Rattus norvegicus: one gene and its partners. The protein of the gene in region 1 purifies or fractionates together with the protein of each later gene. This does not show direct contact. Links are inferred from orthologs where the notes say so. Each region holds a gene or a part of one and is shown in the gene's direction. Other genes may lie near its edges. The genes, in order: Ptpn14, Wwc2 and Stxbp4.

What was found.
Region 2: the proteins of Ptpn14 (region 1) and Wwc2 purify together in Homo sapiens (affinity purification with mass spectrometry, with the first as the bait; 3 studies listed by BioGRID). This does not show direct contact. The link is inferred for Rattus norvegicus from reciprocal best matches to the Homo sapiens genes PTPN14 and WWC2.
Region 3: the proteins of Ptpn14 (region 1) and Stxbp4 purify together in Homo sapiens (affinity purification with mass spectrometry; 3 studies listed by BioGRID and IntAct, counting the BioPlex papers as one, with this or other methods). This does not show direct contact. The link is inferred for Rattus norvegicus from reciprocal best matches to the Homo sapiens genes PTPN14 and STXBP4.

The regions. Positions count from the first base shown.
Region 1 is NC_086031.1:103,798,254-103,802,411, forward strand, and holds the start of Ptpn14 (tyrosine-protein phosphatase non-receptor type 14), read left to right. Parts: upstream 1-1,240; 5' UTR 1,241-1,647; intron 1,648-3,309; exon of another isoform or gene 3,310-3,463; intron 3,464-4,158. UniProt on the Homo sapiens protein: Protein tyrosine phosphatase which may play a role in the regulation of lymphangiogenesis, cell-cell adhesion, cell-matrix adhesion, cell migration, cell growth and also regulates TGF-beta gene expression, thereby modulating epithelial-mesenchymal transition.
Region 2 is NC_086034.1:50,989,747-50,993,977, forward strand, and holds the start of Wwc2 (protein WWC2), read left to right. Parts: upstream 1-1,349; 5' UTR 1,350-2,065; coding exon 2,066-2,196; intron 2,197-4,231. UniProt on the Homo sapiens protein: Regulator of the Hippo signaling pathway, also known as the Salvador-Warts-Hippo (SWH) pathway.
Region 3 is NC_086028.1:75,917,703-75,921,323, reverse strand, and holds part of Stxbp4 (syntaxin-binding protein 4), read left to right. Parts: intron 1-796; coding exon 797-903; intron 904-1,064; coding exon 1,065-1,281; intron 1,282-2,234; coding exon 2,235-2,313; intron 2,314-3,621. UniProt on the Homo sapiens protein: Plays a role in the translocation of transport vesicles from the cytoplasm to the plasma membrane. Inhibits the translocation of SLC2A4 from intracellular vesicles to the plasma membrane by STX4A binding and preventing the interaction between STX4A and VAMP2.

The DNA.
Region 1 (4,158 bases):
AAGAGACCTTTCATTCTTGTTTTGAGGTAGGGTCTTGCTATGTAGTCGAGGCCAACCTAGAACTTGTGATTTTCCTGTCTCTGCCGCCAGAGTGCCATTTTGATAGGATAAGGCCTGGAAGCTTTGTATCCCTTGCCTGTACAGTGAAGTAATTTAACGATATCTTGGGTGACAAGGACTTCGGGGTCCTTGAAAGGACTGGTCTTGAGACTTCCGAAAGAGAACAGACGCCAAGGCACCTTAAAAATACAGGCAACCCCGTTCACTTTACAACTACCAAAACCAAGGATCAGGGCTTGGGGGCTGGGATCTTCCTGAGTTAACCACTTGGCCAGCAACTCAGCGGGGCCTAATACAGGTTCCCTAGCCCGGCTGAGTGCCTTTTCCATTACACCGGCTGCGCCTCAGTAACCCCACCTCCGAAAGTGCTAACGCAGTTCCCTCCTAGTGCCTACCCAGGCGGGGTGGGGCCCCTCCGTGGCTTGGAACAAACCGGGAAAACCACATATTCCAACTCCTAGCACACAAAGGCTGGTTGGCCGTGGGGGCGGGGTGGGAGGACCGGAGCTAAGACTCACTACTCAGAGATCCTAGGATTCCGAGGAGAGCTTCTAGATTGTCTGCTCAAGGAGGCCACCCTAATTTGGCCCGCGTCTCCTGGGCGGTGGCGGCATGGGGGCATCCTGCTTGGAGACCTCACTCAAATAAATGGCCTGTTCTAGTTCCAGCGTCCCACCCCCTAGCTGCCCACGGAAATCTTGGAGGGACCGTCCTTTCCTTTCCGCTTTCCCCTCCGTCTCCTAAGCGTCGCACAGTTGGGTTGACTTGGGTCATCTCCCCCTCTCCACTTTCAGTCTATCTCACTCCAGGCACGTCCCTTCAGTCCAAGCCCCCCACCTTGGAAGGAAAACACGCTCCAAAGCTAGCCCATTAAAAGTGCACGACTTCTGCCCGGTCGGCCGAAGGAGCTCCCACAGCCTGGCATTCCTCGGATTCCAGTGCTGTGACGTCCCTGGGGACCGTGCGCCCGCAGCGGGGGAGCCCGGGCTCCTCTTTTCAGCGCTGGGCGCGCGTTCCCGAGGCTGGCGCGCGCCCTCCCCGGACGCATTCCTGGCCCGCCCAGCAAGCGCCCCGCGCACTCCCCGCCTCCCGGCCCCCAGCGCTGCGGAGCCGAGCCCCGGGCGGGGGAGCGCGGCCAGCGGCGCCTGCTCGTCCCCTCCCACCCGGCCCCTTCCTCCGCCCTCCCGGCCGCTCGCGCTTCCTGGCGCTCGGGCTCTCCCGAGGCTCAAGTTCTGCACAACTTCTCCCCGCTGCCCAGCGCCTCGGCCGCGGGCCCGGCCAGCTAGCTGCGCTCCTCGGCTCAGCCGACTCGTCCATAGGGCAGGTCCTCGTGGAGCATCTGGTGCCAAGTGGCTGCTGGCGGTCCCTCTCTGCGCCCCACCTCTCCGATCGCCCCGGTCCCCTCGCGCGGGACGGCGGTGCTCAGGTTCTTGGCCCTTTCTCCTCCCGGGTGCGCCCAGCGCGGCGGCCGCTGCGTAACCCTCCCTGCGCCCCTCCTCTGCCTGCTTCTAGAAGCCAGTGGTGGGGACCTAGACTCGCTGATGGTCAACGTGCGGCACCCGGGTCACTCCCGGGCCATGTAAGCAGGTAAGCTAGCCAGTCGGGAGCAGATACTCCAGCAGAGCCAACTTGGGCTTGCTGCCGCGGACGCCGGAGAGCGCGGTGGGGGCGCCAGGTGGCCGGCCGCCGGGTTCTCTTCGTGTGCGGCGCTCGCTCCTCCAGGATTGAGCTGGAAAGGGAGCGCGGTCTGGGACTCTGGGGTTCAGCCAAAACGTCTCCAATAGCTCCTGTTGTGTTTGCCAGCAGGGGAATACAGCGCAGCGCCCCAAGCGTGCCCTGTGCCTCTGTGGGCACTGAGTTTGTGAGGAGTCCTTGTGCACTCTCTCCAATGCCCCAGAGGTGATACCAAACTCCCGATTCTCTTGCTCCAGCTTGGGTGATCCGACAAGCGCGCAGGGAAAAATTGTGTGCATCTCAGACCAGATCTCCAGCTCGAACTTTGCAGGTTCTGAGAGTTAGCAGCCCCTTTCCCACGTGACCCCGCGTCTAGTTTCGAATCTTTGGGAATGGTTTTCCTATCTTTTCTGGAGGAATTGATGTGCGCTGTCACTATCCCCTTCCTTTGCCCTTCTTCCTTCGGTTTGAGGAGCTTGTGCGGTTTTGAGTTTAGTCCGTCCACGGATTAGCTATTACGGGGTCCTACTGGAGGCGAGTTACGTTCAGACTGCTGCTGGATGGTCAGATTCCAAAACAAGTTTATTTCTTGAAATGGATTCCCTCCCTCATTCATTCAACGAACTCAGTGGTGAGTCTAATCCTCTGCCAGGAGATCCCACTACAAGAGTCTGCAGCACCCCGAAGGCAGCCCGTGGGCGGATAGGGACATGTGCTGCAGGAGAGGGGTTCTGTGAGAGTCGGTGAAGGCCAGGTGGTGGAGGAAAGGGGTTACCTTCGTCGAGGGAGGGAATGATGCTCAACTTAGGAGTGGTTGAGGGACTGCATTCCAGAGGAGGAAACAGCTTGGGCAAAGTGAGGGGCGCGGAGGGGGGCGTGCAGAAAGTCTTGGAGAGAGACCCGGTGGCTGGCGGGGCATGTATGGGCAGGTTGGTGCACTGTTGCTGGCATAGTTAGCCCCCACCCCAGCAGAAACGAAACCGGAAGTCTCTTACCCACTTCCCGTGACCAGGAGTAGCTTCCAAGGATCAAAAGCTTTCCCTTTGGACGTGTTTCCTCTATTGATGTGTCTCCCACACGGTTCTGGGGGGTGACAGGTGTTTGTCATTAATTGACCCATCCTTGGTTCTGTCAAAGTATCCCAGTGAGGACCACCCCATCTCCCTACAGAACCTTGTCCTGAGGGAGCTTTTGACATTTGTATCTTAGAATTGGTTTGGTTTTGTTTCCCCTTTGGTGCTGGGGACAGAACCTGGTCAGGGCCTTTTGCTCACCGGGCAAGTGATTTTCCTTTTCCCAGGTCCCTAACAGCTTTCTTACCTAACAGCCACCTTACCTGTGGAATGTGTGGCTGGCATGTGGAGAATCAGTTCAAGGATGTTGCTCTGTGTCTCAGAATCACTGCCTTTAAAAAGTAGTTTCCAGGGGTTGGGGATTTAGCTCAGTGGTAGCGCAAGGCCCTGGGTTCGGTCCTCAGCTCCGGAAAAAAAAAAAAGTAGTTTCCGCAATGTCTTGAGGTTTTCTTTCCTTTCTCTGAACCTGTGGAAACTGAAATCTCCCATCCCTGTAACGCAGGGTCCAGTACATCCTGCCGGAAAAAGCTCCTTGGTGCAGGAGAGGTTGTCCAGTCACCTCTATGAGGGACTTCTTCACTGGGCTGAAGTGTATATGCCTAGTGGTTGCTCCTGGCCAAGACACCAGATCTCCAGCCTTCAGGTGTCTTAAGCTGGTACGTAGAAGTGGCTCCTTGCAACTTGAGTGTGTTTATTCAAGGTTCTCTCCCAGCCCATCTTTGATCTCAAGAGCAAGCATTTCCATGATGGGAGATCTGGAATGTGTGTGGGACCTGCATGAGGGAAGTGTGTACCAAGAGGCCGTGGCTTCTCCTCACCGATTGGTCCTAGGTCTCCTCTGGGATCTCCTCCTTGGTTTGTGCCAACTCACAGCACCGCAGTTATTCACGTTTGTGTGTGCATATGTTCCGTGGTCAGTTGAAAGAGAATTGCCTAAGGGAGACTTTTAATATTGGCACAGCACAGAGAATTCAGAGGAAATCAGAGTTTTCAGAAGAGTTCTCCCTTGCTCTGTGGAAGAGCAGAAGTCTAGGACTGAGGATTTCCCCAGCATGTGCTTTCTGACTGAATTATGTTCCTGCCCGTCAGGGATACAAATATTGACCTCTTCCTAGCAAATTGAGCTCACCTGGGTTCCAGCAGTCTTGTCTGTTTCTTGAAAAAGAATTTGGACACATTCTTTCTTTTGAACTTTTCATTGCTTGGTTACCTAGTGCTGTGTGGGTTTCAGATCCATCCCGAGCCTCGGAATTTTGTTAGGCACTTGGTTGGAGGTAGGGCAGGAGGAGAGATAAGATGAAATACTTAATTAGCCAATTAAGGACGGAGGGAAACAGACACCAACGCTTCA
Region 2 (4,231 bases), on another chromosome or scaffold:
TAGTGTAACAGGTTAATTTTAAACAGAACCCCTCTACCTACTGAGGACTAGGACCCTGACTGATTATCTTACTACTAATGGGCTGAGGCAAAAAACAGGTTAGGAAGTGGAACCTTCCCTGGACAAAGCACAAAACCCAGCTTCCACAGGCCTTGGCATTATGGGAAAGACCTAGAAAGTGAGAGGTTTCCCTCGGGAGCCACAGCCGCTCTCTGGTTGTCCTTCCCAGGTGTACCCGGCTTTCCAGTTCTGGGGGATTTCAAGTGTCTGCTTCTGCACAAGCTGTTTCATTCAGAATAAGTCCCTTTCCTCTTCCTAACATCCCCTTCAGAGCATGTGGAGTCCCCTTCTGGAAGCTTGATTCAAGGCTTGGTTCTTACTTGTTTAGTTCTATTGACAACTTCAGCAAGTGCCCAGACACAGAAAATGTCCTGCCCAATGCCAGGTCCTGAAGTTATTACATTAGCACATATGATTAAGGGAATTCACACCGAGAGGTGAAGGACTGAACGATGGGGCCTTTCTTCCTAAGGTGCTGCTATAATCTGCTTAGGGGCCTGGAAGAATATTAACAAGGGTGGTGACACACAGCAGACTGTAAAGGTTGGGGACAGAAAGGCTCCCTTCCAGACTGAGGATAAGGGACACTGCAAGCTTAGTGTCTTGACTCTGCCGAGGCTTTGTAGTGTCTGACATCCGGCTCCTACTCAGTGCCGACCAGCACTTAATAGCTAAATAAATAAATGTTTGTGAGGTAAGATCTACATCTCATAGATGGACCCTTGATCAAGCAAAGTGTGGCCTCTGACCCCTGCCTTGGGCTCCCTTCGGAGTGATTAACACCTTCGGGCGAAGAACTTCCTAGGACAGAGGGTTGGAAGGAAGGGACTAGATATTGGACGCAGCCACGTCCCTTGGATTTAAACCCAGAAGGGGACGCCAGATGCACATGGCCCTGCCCCGGCGGGGAGGCGCGAGTGATTCGGACCCCCAGGGCCCGCGTGTGGCGGCGACAGTGGCGGGGTGGCCCTGTCGCTTCTAAGGATCAGGCCGGAGTTGCCCCGTGGGCCATTGGGGCGGACGTGTCGCGGCGCTCATGGATAGGGACCCGCCTTTACTTTGCTCCCTTAGGCCCGCGAGGTCCCTGGTGAGGTCACCGAGGGCCACTCTGAGCGGGAGGCTCGGGGGGCGCTGCGGCCCCGGACACGCCCCGGACACACTCCCAGCGCTTTTGCACACTTCCCCACCGCTAGGAACAGCCAAGGCACGGGGCGCGGCGTGGGGGTTGGGGGTGGGGGCGTTCTGTGCCCTTACTGTTTGTTGGGACTTCTTCCCAGGACAGCATTCCCCACCCTTTCCTCTCGAAAGTCTTGTGGTTTCCCTAGAAGACGGAAAGAGGTTGGGAAGGTTGCAGACTTTTTTCTTTAGACTTCTTTCTCGTCCAGAAAACTCCTAAATCCCCAAAGGGTCTGGCGGAGAGGAGACACCTCGGGTTGGAGAGGAGGGAGCGAGCCGAGCATTCCTTCGCCCTCCCGCCTCCCACCTGGCCTCGCCGCTCCCCTCCCCCGCGCGGGTTCAGCCCCGCGTCCCGCCGCGGCCGCCCCGGCAGCTGCAGGGTTAAGCTCAGGAATGTGGCGGCGAGGAATGTGCATGCAGATGAGGCGGGCGCGGGGCGGGCCGGGGGCGGGCCGCATGCTAATCGCACGCAAATGAGGAGGCCAGTCGCCGCCGGGCCGTTGCTCCGCGGAGCTTCCCGGATCCGAGCCCAGACGGCGTCGGCCGGGGCAGCCTGGGCGCCGCGACCCTCGGCAGCCACAGGGGGACGGGGAGGAGGAGGAAGAGGCGGAGGCAGCGGCGGCAAGGAGGAGGAGGGCTCGCTCGCCTGTTCCGACGCAGACATGGTGGACTGATCCCCGGCAGGGCTGAGAGCAGGGATTCCTGAGGCTCCTCCGCGCGTGGCCCACTGTGCCCCGAGCCCCGCACGCCCCTTGCCGGCACTCGCGTTCCCGCCGCGCCCCGCGCCGGGTCCCTATGGAGGCGCCGCTCGCCGGCGAGGCCGCCGACCATGCCTAGGAGAGCCGGGAGCGGGCAGCTGCCGCTACCCCGGGGCTGGGAGGAGGCCAGGGACTACGACGGCAAGGTTTTCTACATCGACCACAACACCAGGAGGACCAGCTGGATCGACCCTCGGGACAGGTGGGCGGCCGGGCCCCGGCCGGGTGCGGGGACCCGCCTCGGGAAGTGCTGCGGCGACTGTTGTCTGGGAGACCTGGAAGATGCGGGGGGCGTGGGGCGTCTCCTGTTCTGCAACTCTGAGGGGCTCCGGGATAGGCGCGGGACCGGCCTAGGCGCGGCTGTGTCTGCCCGCCAGGCGCCCCTTCTTGGGCCCCATTGCCCACTGCCTTCCCCACGCCCCTCAGGGACTTGTAGACACTCCCTGGCCCAAGGGAAGGGCCGGATTGGTGCCCTGGATTGGCACCCTAAGTCCAGTTAGCCGGCTCAGGGTGGGGGGCACTTGACCCCTCTTTAGACCTCCGGTGTGCTCTTTAAAGTTGGTCAGATGGAGGGGGAGGGCACCTTTCGACCTCTGTGAGGCACGCTGAGCTCAGGGCCTCCCGGAGGCCTAAGTGATGGTGAACATCTAGCCATCTGGGCCACCTGTGGCATCTCTCCAGCCCTACCTACCTAGCTCCTGAGCATTGACTGCAAGCTTTTACTAGGGCGCACCCCGAACCATGCCCTAGGTCCTGTACGTGGAGAGTGGGGTCCCAATCCTGGCTCGACCTTTGTAGCTTTGCCCCTAAGATTAAAAAAAAAAAGTTTTGGAATTTTGCTTCTAACCTTAGTTCCTCACCTGAAAACTTGGGTCAGATTTTCTTGTGAAATGGCATGGAGACTGGGACTGAACCTTGGCTACAGATACGGGTAGCCCAGACTTGAAGCTTAGCCTGATTTTGCACAGGTCTCACGACAAGCGTTTTTGTTCTTACCTGGAGATCTGAGCAAGTAGGCAGACATCTGAGAAGTTCAGGAGCTGAAGTTTAGTGGAATGCTCACCAGTGTTCTGTTTCTCAACTTTCTCTTCACTTTTAGGAGGAACATTTCTTAGAATTAAAGTTGTTAGAGGGCGCAGTATGGTCTCACACATCTGGCTAAACTCAGCACTTGTGAGGTGAAAGGCGGATCAGGAGTTCAAGGCCAATTTGGGTTATTCGAGATCCTGTCTCAAAAAAAAATTTAAAAAAAATAAAAATAAAGGAATACTAGAGTGCATTTTTTACTTGTAAATTTGAAAACTGTCCTTAAAGAGGTATTTTTGTTTTGTTTTGTTATTTTTTTCTAGACCGCCTCATACTGTATTGTATTGTCAGCTCAGGCTAACTGGCTTGGGACACATTATGTAACACAGGCTGGTACCAAACTCACAGCAATCCCCCTGCCTCAGCCTCCTCAATGCAGGAATTACAGATGCTAGGCACCGAGCCGGATTTGTTCCTCGTTGTAAATTCAATATCTTGTCGGGGATGCCCCTGCCCTTTGCAGTTTTAGCATTCCTGAAAAGTCCTACATGGTCTGAGAGGTCATAGCCTTTTCAGGAGCTTTTCCTGTTAAGCCCCACCCCCTCTTCTTAGTTTGAAACACACTTTTCTATTCGCTATCCCCAAGCACTCATTTCCTACAACTATTGTATGTGAAAGCTATTAAAAAGCAGTTATAAGAAAATCCCGAATGATATATATTTATGGAACAATCCTTGTTAAATTATCCATGAAGATAAGGTTTAGGTTTCCCTCATGTTGAGGAAAGACACCTGTGCCCAGGCCTCACCTCCGCACACCCCACAGGCCATTGCTGACTCCACGAAGGTTCTGACGGGAGTCACACCTCCATAGTCTCTCCAGGCACATTAGCTGTCATAAACCTCACCATGCTCCAAGCCTATTACTTATACGTTTGCACTTTGAAACTACTTAACGGACAGCAAACGTCGGTGCGGATGGGTGCGCACATGGCGGTGGTTTTGTGGGGCACCTGTATAAATATTTGACTTTTACAGTTGTATGGCAGCTCTGCGGACACTCGGAGTCTCCGGCTCACTGCCGCCAAAAAGCTTAGGCTTTCTAAGCATTCATTCCCCTGCCTCGGCTCACGTGCTTCCTATCACCTCACATTTGTCTACTGGAGAGGATTATAAGATGTGCAGGGGCTGGGTGAGGCAAACAGAAAGGGA
Region 3 (3,621 bases), on another chromosome or scaffold:
TTAAATCTTATAATTGATTATTCTGTATCTGATGTGTTTGGGAGTTATGCATAGGTCCAGGGCTTAACAAAGACATCCAGTTAAAGTTGGTGATTATCAGCATGGACATATGCACATGACATCTGATACCACATGCACAGCCTAGTTGGCTTGGCCACAGGAAGGGCTAACAAATCTAGTAAAGAGGATACTTGAGTGATAACTAAGATTTGCATAAAACCAATGCAATTAGGTTTCTTAACCTTATTTTTAAAAAGTCAGTGTAGTGTGCATGTTTGGACAGGTCCGTTCATGTTCTGTATGTGAATGTGCGTGCATGTTTGTATGAGTCTGCATGTGTATATGCACATGCATGTGTGTACACGTATCCTGACATCCGAGTTAAACAGTTTGTAGGAGGAAAGAGGCAAATGCTCGTTCACTGGGGTAGACGAGTCTCCTATTCTGAAATATTCTTTATGCAGTGAGTGCTTGGTTTGCTCTATCTGAGTCAGAATCTTATCAGACTCAGAGCTGAGCTTTGAAAACAAGTGCCCTTTTGTGTACAGGCCAGTTTCTTATGGTAGACTGATTCATTAGCATAAGGATTTATTCACTGCATGTATAAACCACACAATTTTCCTTATGTATAATACTTAACTAGCCAGTAATAGAACATTTTGTTATTTGGATTCTCTAATTTTTTTACTCTGTTTATGGCATTATTCACAAGATTATTTGCTTTTCTTAGGTTAATTTTGTTAAAACTACTTTATTATTATTATTTTGTAATTTTCTGTTTGGCTTTTATTTTTAGGATGGACGTTTGAAGCCAGGAGATCAGCTTGTCTCCATAAACAAGGAATCTATGATTGGTGTATCATTTGAAGAAGCAAAAAACATACTTACCAGAGCCAAGTTGAGGTAACAATTCCATCCATATGATAGGATGAGTCATTGAGCACATATATATAAAGGTCGTGATGAGGCTATCTTAAAGGTTTTCACTGTACTAGAAACACTGTCTTTGCATTTACTTGACCGCATTTGTTGAATATCCACAAATTAATCTCTTTAAATCGTAGGTGGGAATCTCCGTTGGAGATAGCATTTATCAGACAGAAGTCTTACTGTGGTCATCCAGGAAACATTTGCTGTCAGTCCCCACCAGTGTCAGAAGACTGTGAACCTCAAACCTCAGCATTTAATCTTCTTTCCTCTCCCGCTGGAACACTACTTCCAAAGACTTCATCCACTCCCAGGACTCAGGACTCCATTTTACCCTCCTGTACAGTAATTCAGGTAACCTTAAATTCTAGTTTATATACTCAGTCCATAAATCTCTTACTTTTTTTGTTGTTGGTTAAATCAATATAGAATTGTAATTTCATTAACAATGCTTATTAATAAGTTAATATCTCCTTGAAATACTTTTCCTTTTTAGGTTTTTATCATGTAAAACAGATTTTTCAAGCTAATGTACCCTTTCTTTAAAAACTTAGAAAACATCAACATATAACAACATGGTACCATAAAGATACTAGACATCATTAATTCCCCAATTTTCTGTTTCTACCTAATAAAAGATAGGCGTGTGTGTGTGTGTGTGTACGCGCATGTGCGTGCGTGTGTGTGTGTGTGTGTGTGTGTGTGTGTGTGTGTGTGTGTGTGTTCAGTCCTTAGTGTCTTCTCTTCATGCTAAGGCTGATCCTGATCATCCTGTCTATGGATAGTGTTCCTCTCACCCTCACATGTGTGTCCTATGAAATTGTTCACCTTACCTATTTGATTCCAAAACATGAGGAATTTATTATATCCAGAGTAATGTATTTGCTTTGAACTGCTACATGGTCGTAATAAATCATAATTCCAAAGTAGAATCTATATTCTTTAAATCTGTGTTAGGAATAAAACACAAGAAGCAAGTAGACTTTCACTCATAGATGAGTTCCTTAAGGTAACGTCTGTTCAAGGTGATGGTGATCAAAAAGACTGTTCTGTGAGCGCTTGGACTGCTTCTTTTAAAGACAAGGGGCATGGCCTTCTGTTCTCTTACCCTTAGACACGATAGACTAAAAGCACTGTTACTTTCCACTCTGAAATGCTTTCTCTGAAGATGAATATAGCGAGTATTAGGAACTTCATATTTTTTGGAATCTTTCTTTGATCTTTTTAACCATTCTATTTATGTTAACATGCGCGTCTAGTTTGTGCTTTGACCTACTTTAGAAAGTGACTTATCATTTCCCTCACAGACTCAACCTGAGCACAGTCAAGCAGGGCTTGCTCCAGTTCCTTCTTTGAACAACCGCCCTACAGACACATCCAATGCAGGTAAATTCCCATTTAATTCCTGCTCTGTTTATCAACTACTCTTTTTCAGTGAGTGATTGAAAATTAGTAATATGACTCAATAGATCTTAAAGATGGCGTAGTGCCTTTCAGTGAATAAAAAAAGCAAAATAAGTGTATTGTTTGATGCTTTCTGTTAAATCTTGACTTTTGCTAGAACTATCTCTGAACAAAGAGTTGCAGTTTTAAAAAGTGCATTATAATAAATGTCTATGAAGCTGTAATTGCTATCGAATTGTTGAACCAAGGAAATCAAGTAACGAAGAGTCAAGATACGAGTTCTTGTCTCTTTACTGAAGTACTGATGGGATATACAACTACAGCTTTGGAAACACAGTACACATAGCACAGAACTAAAGAAAGATATCTGTTCGTTTGCTTTGAAAGCTATCATACGGATATGAATTAAAAAGGACATCCATACCTCCTTTGATATAATTTTTGAATTACTGTAAAATGACTTAGTGATTTTAAAAATAATCAAATCAAAATGACCTAAGCTATACATAGAAAAGGATTTTCATCACTCCATAAAGTTCTTATTGACTCGAATATCGAGAAAAATAATCCTTCCACTGAAATTGTCTCCAAGTTAAAGACAATTTAGAAACTGTATTTACTATAACTAAAAGACTAACTACATATTCTTAATAACGATTTAAATTACAACCCACATATATTAATTTTTAACATTATTAATTTTTCTTAGAATTACAAAATACAGAGAACTGGTTTAGATGAAGTAGCTCCTAATCATGAACAAGTGGTCAGTTCATCAACAGAGCGTATGCTCACCAGGCTGAGGCCCTGTAATCAGTCCCCAGCACCAAAGAAAAAAGAAAAACCAGCATCAGACTTCACAGCAATTTATGCTGTCATCTTCATGTTTCCTCTGCCTGGGAGAAGGATTTTCCAATGGGTTAGAATTTTTTAACCAAAATTATATACCTTTTAATTACTGAGATTTAGTGATTCTTGGAAATAATATTAATTAGTATTCCTTTCACATAATTAACATCCAGTCTCTTGATAGACTGTTTTTATTTTAAATTGGGAGCTCACATGGAAAGACAAAAAAGACAGATGACTAAAGCAGCCAGTCTAAGATGTGGGGTCACAGTTGCTCCATGATGAAAGTCGGGGTCTTTCTTCTTCCACTGTTGTGAGACATTAGTTATATAATGTGTGTAATACATTTTCAATTTTTAAAACAACCAAAGTAAGTACTCCCCATAGCCATTTATTTAGGGTACATTTGCTAAATGTTACCGAGTTAGCAACGAATGTAGC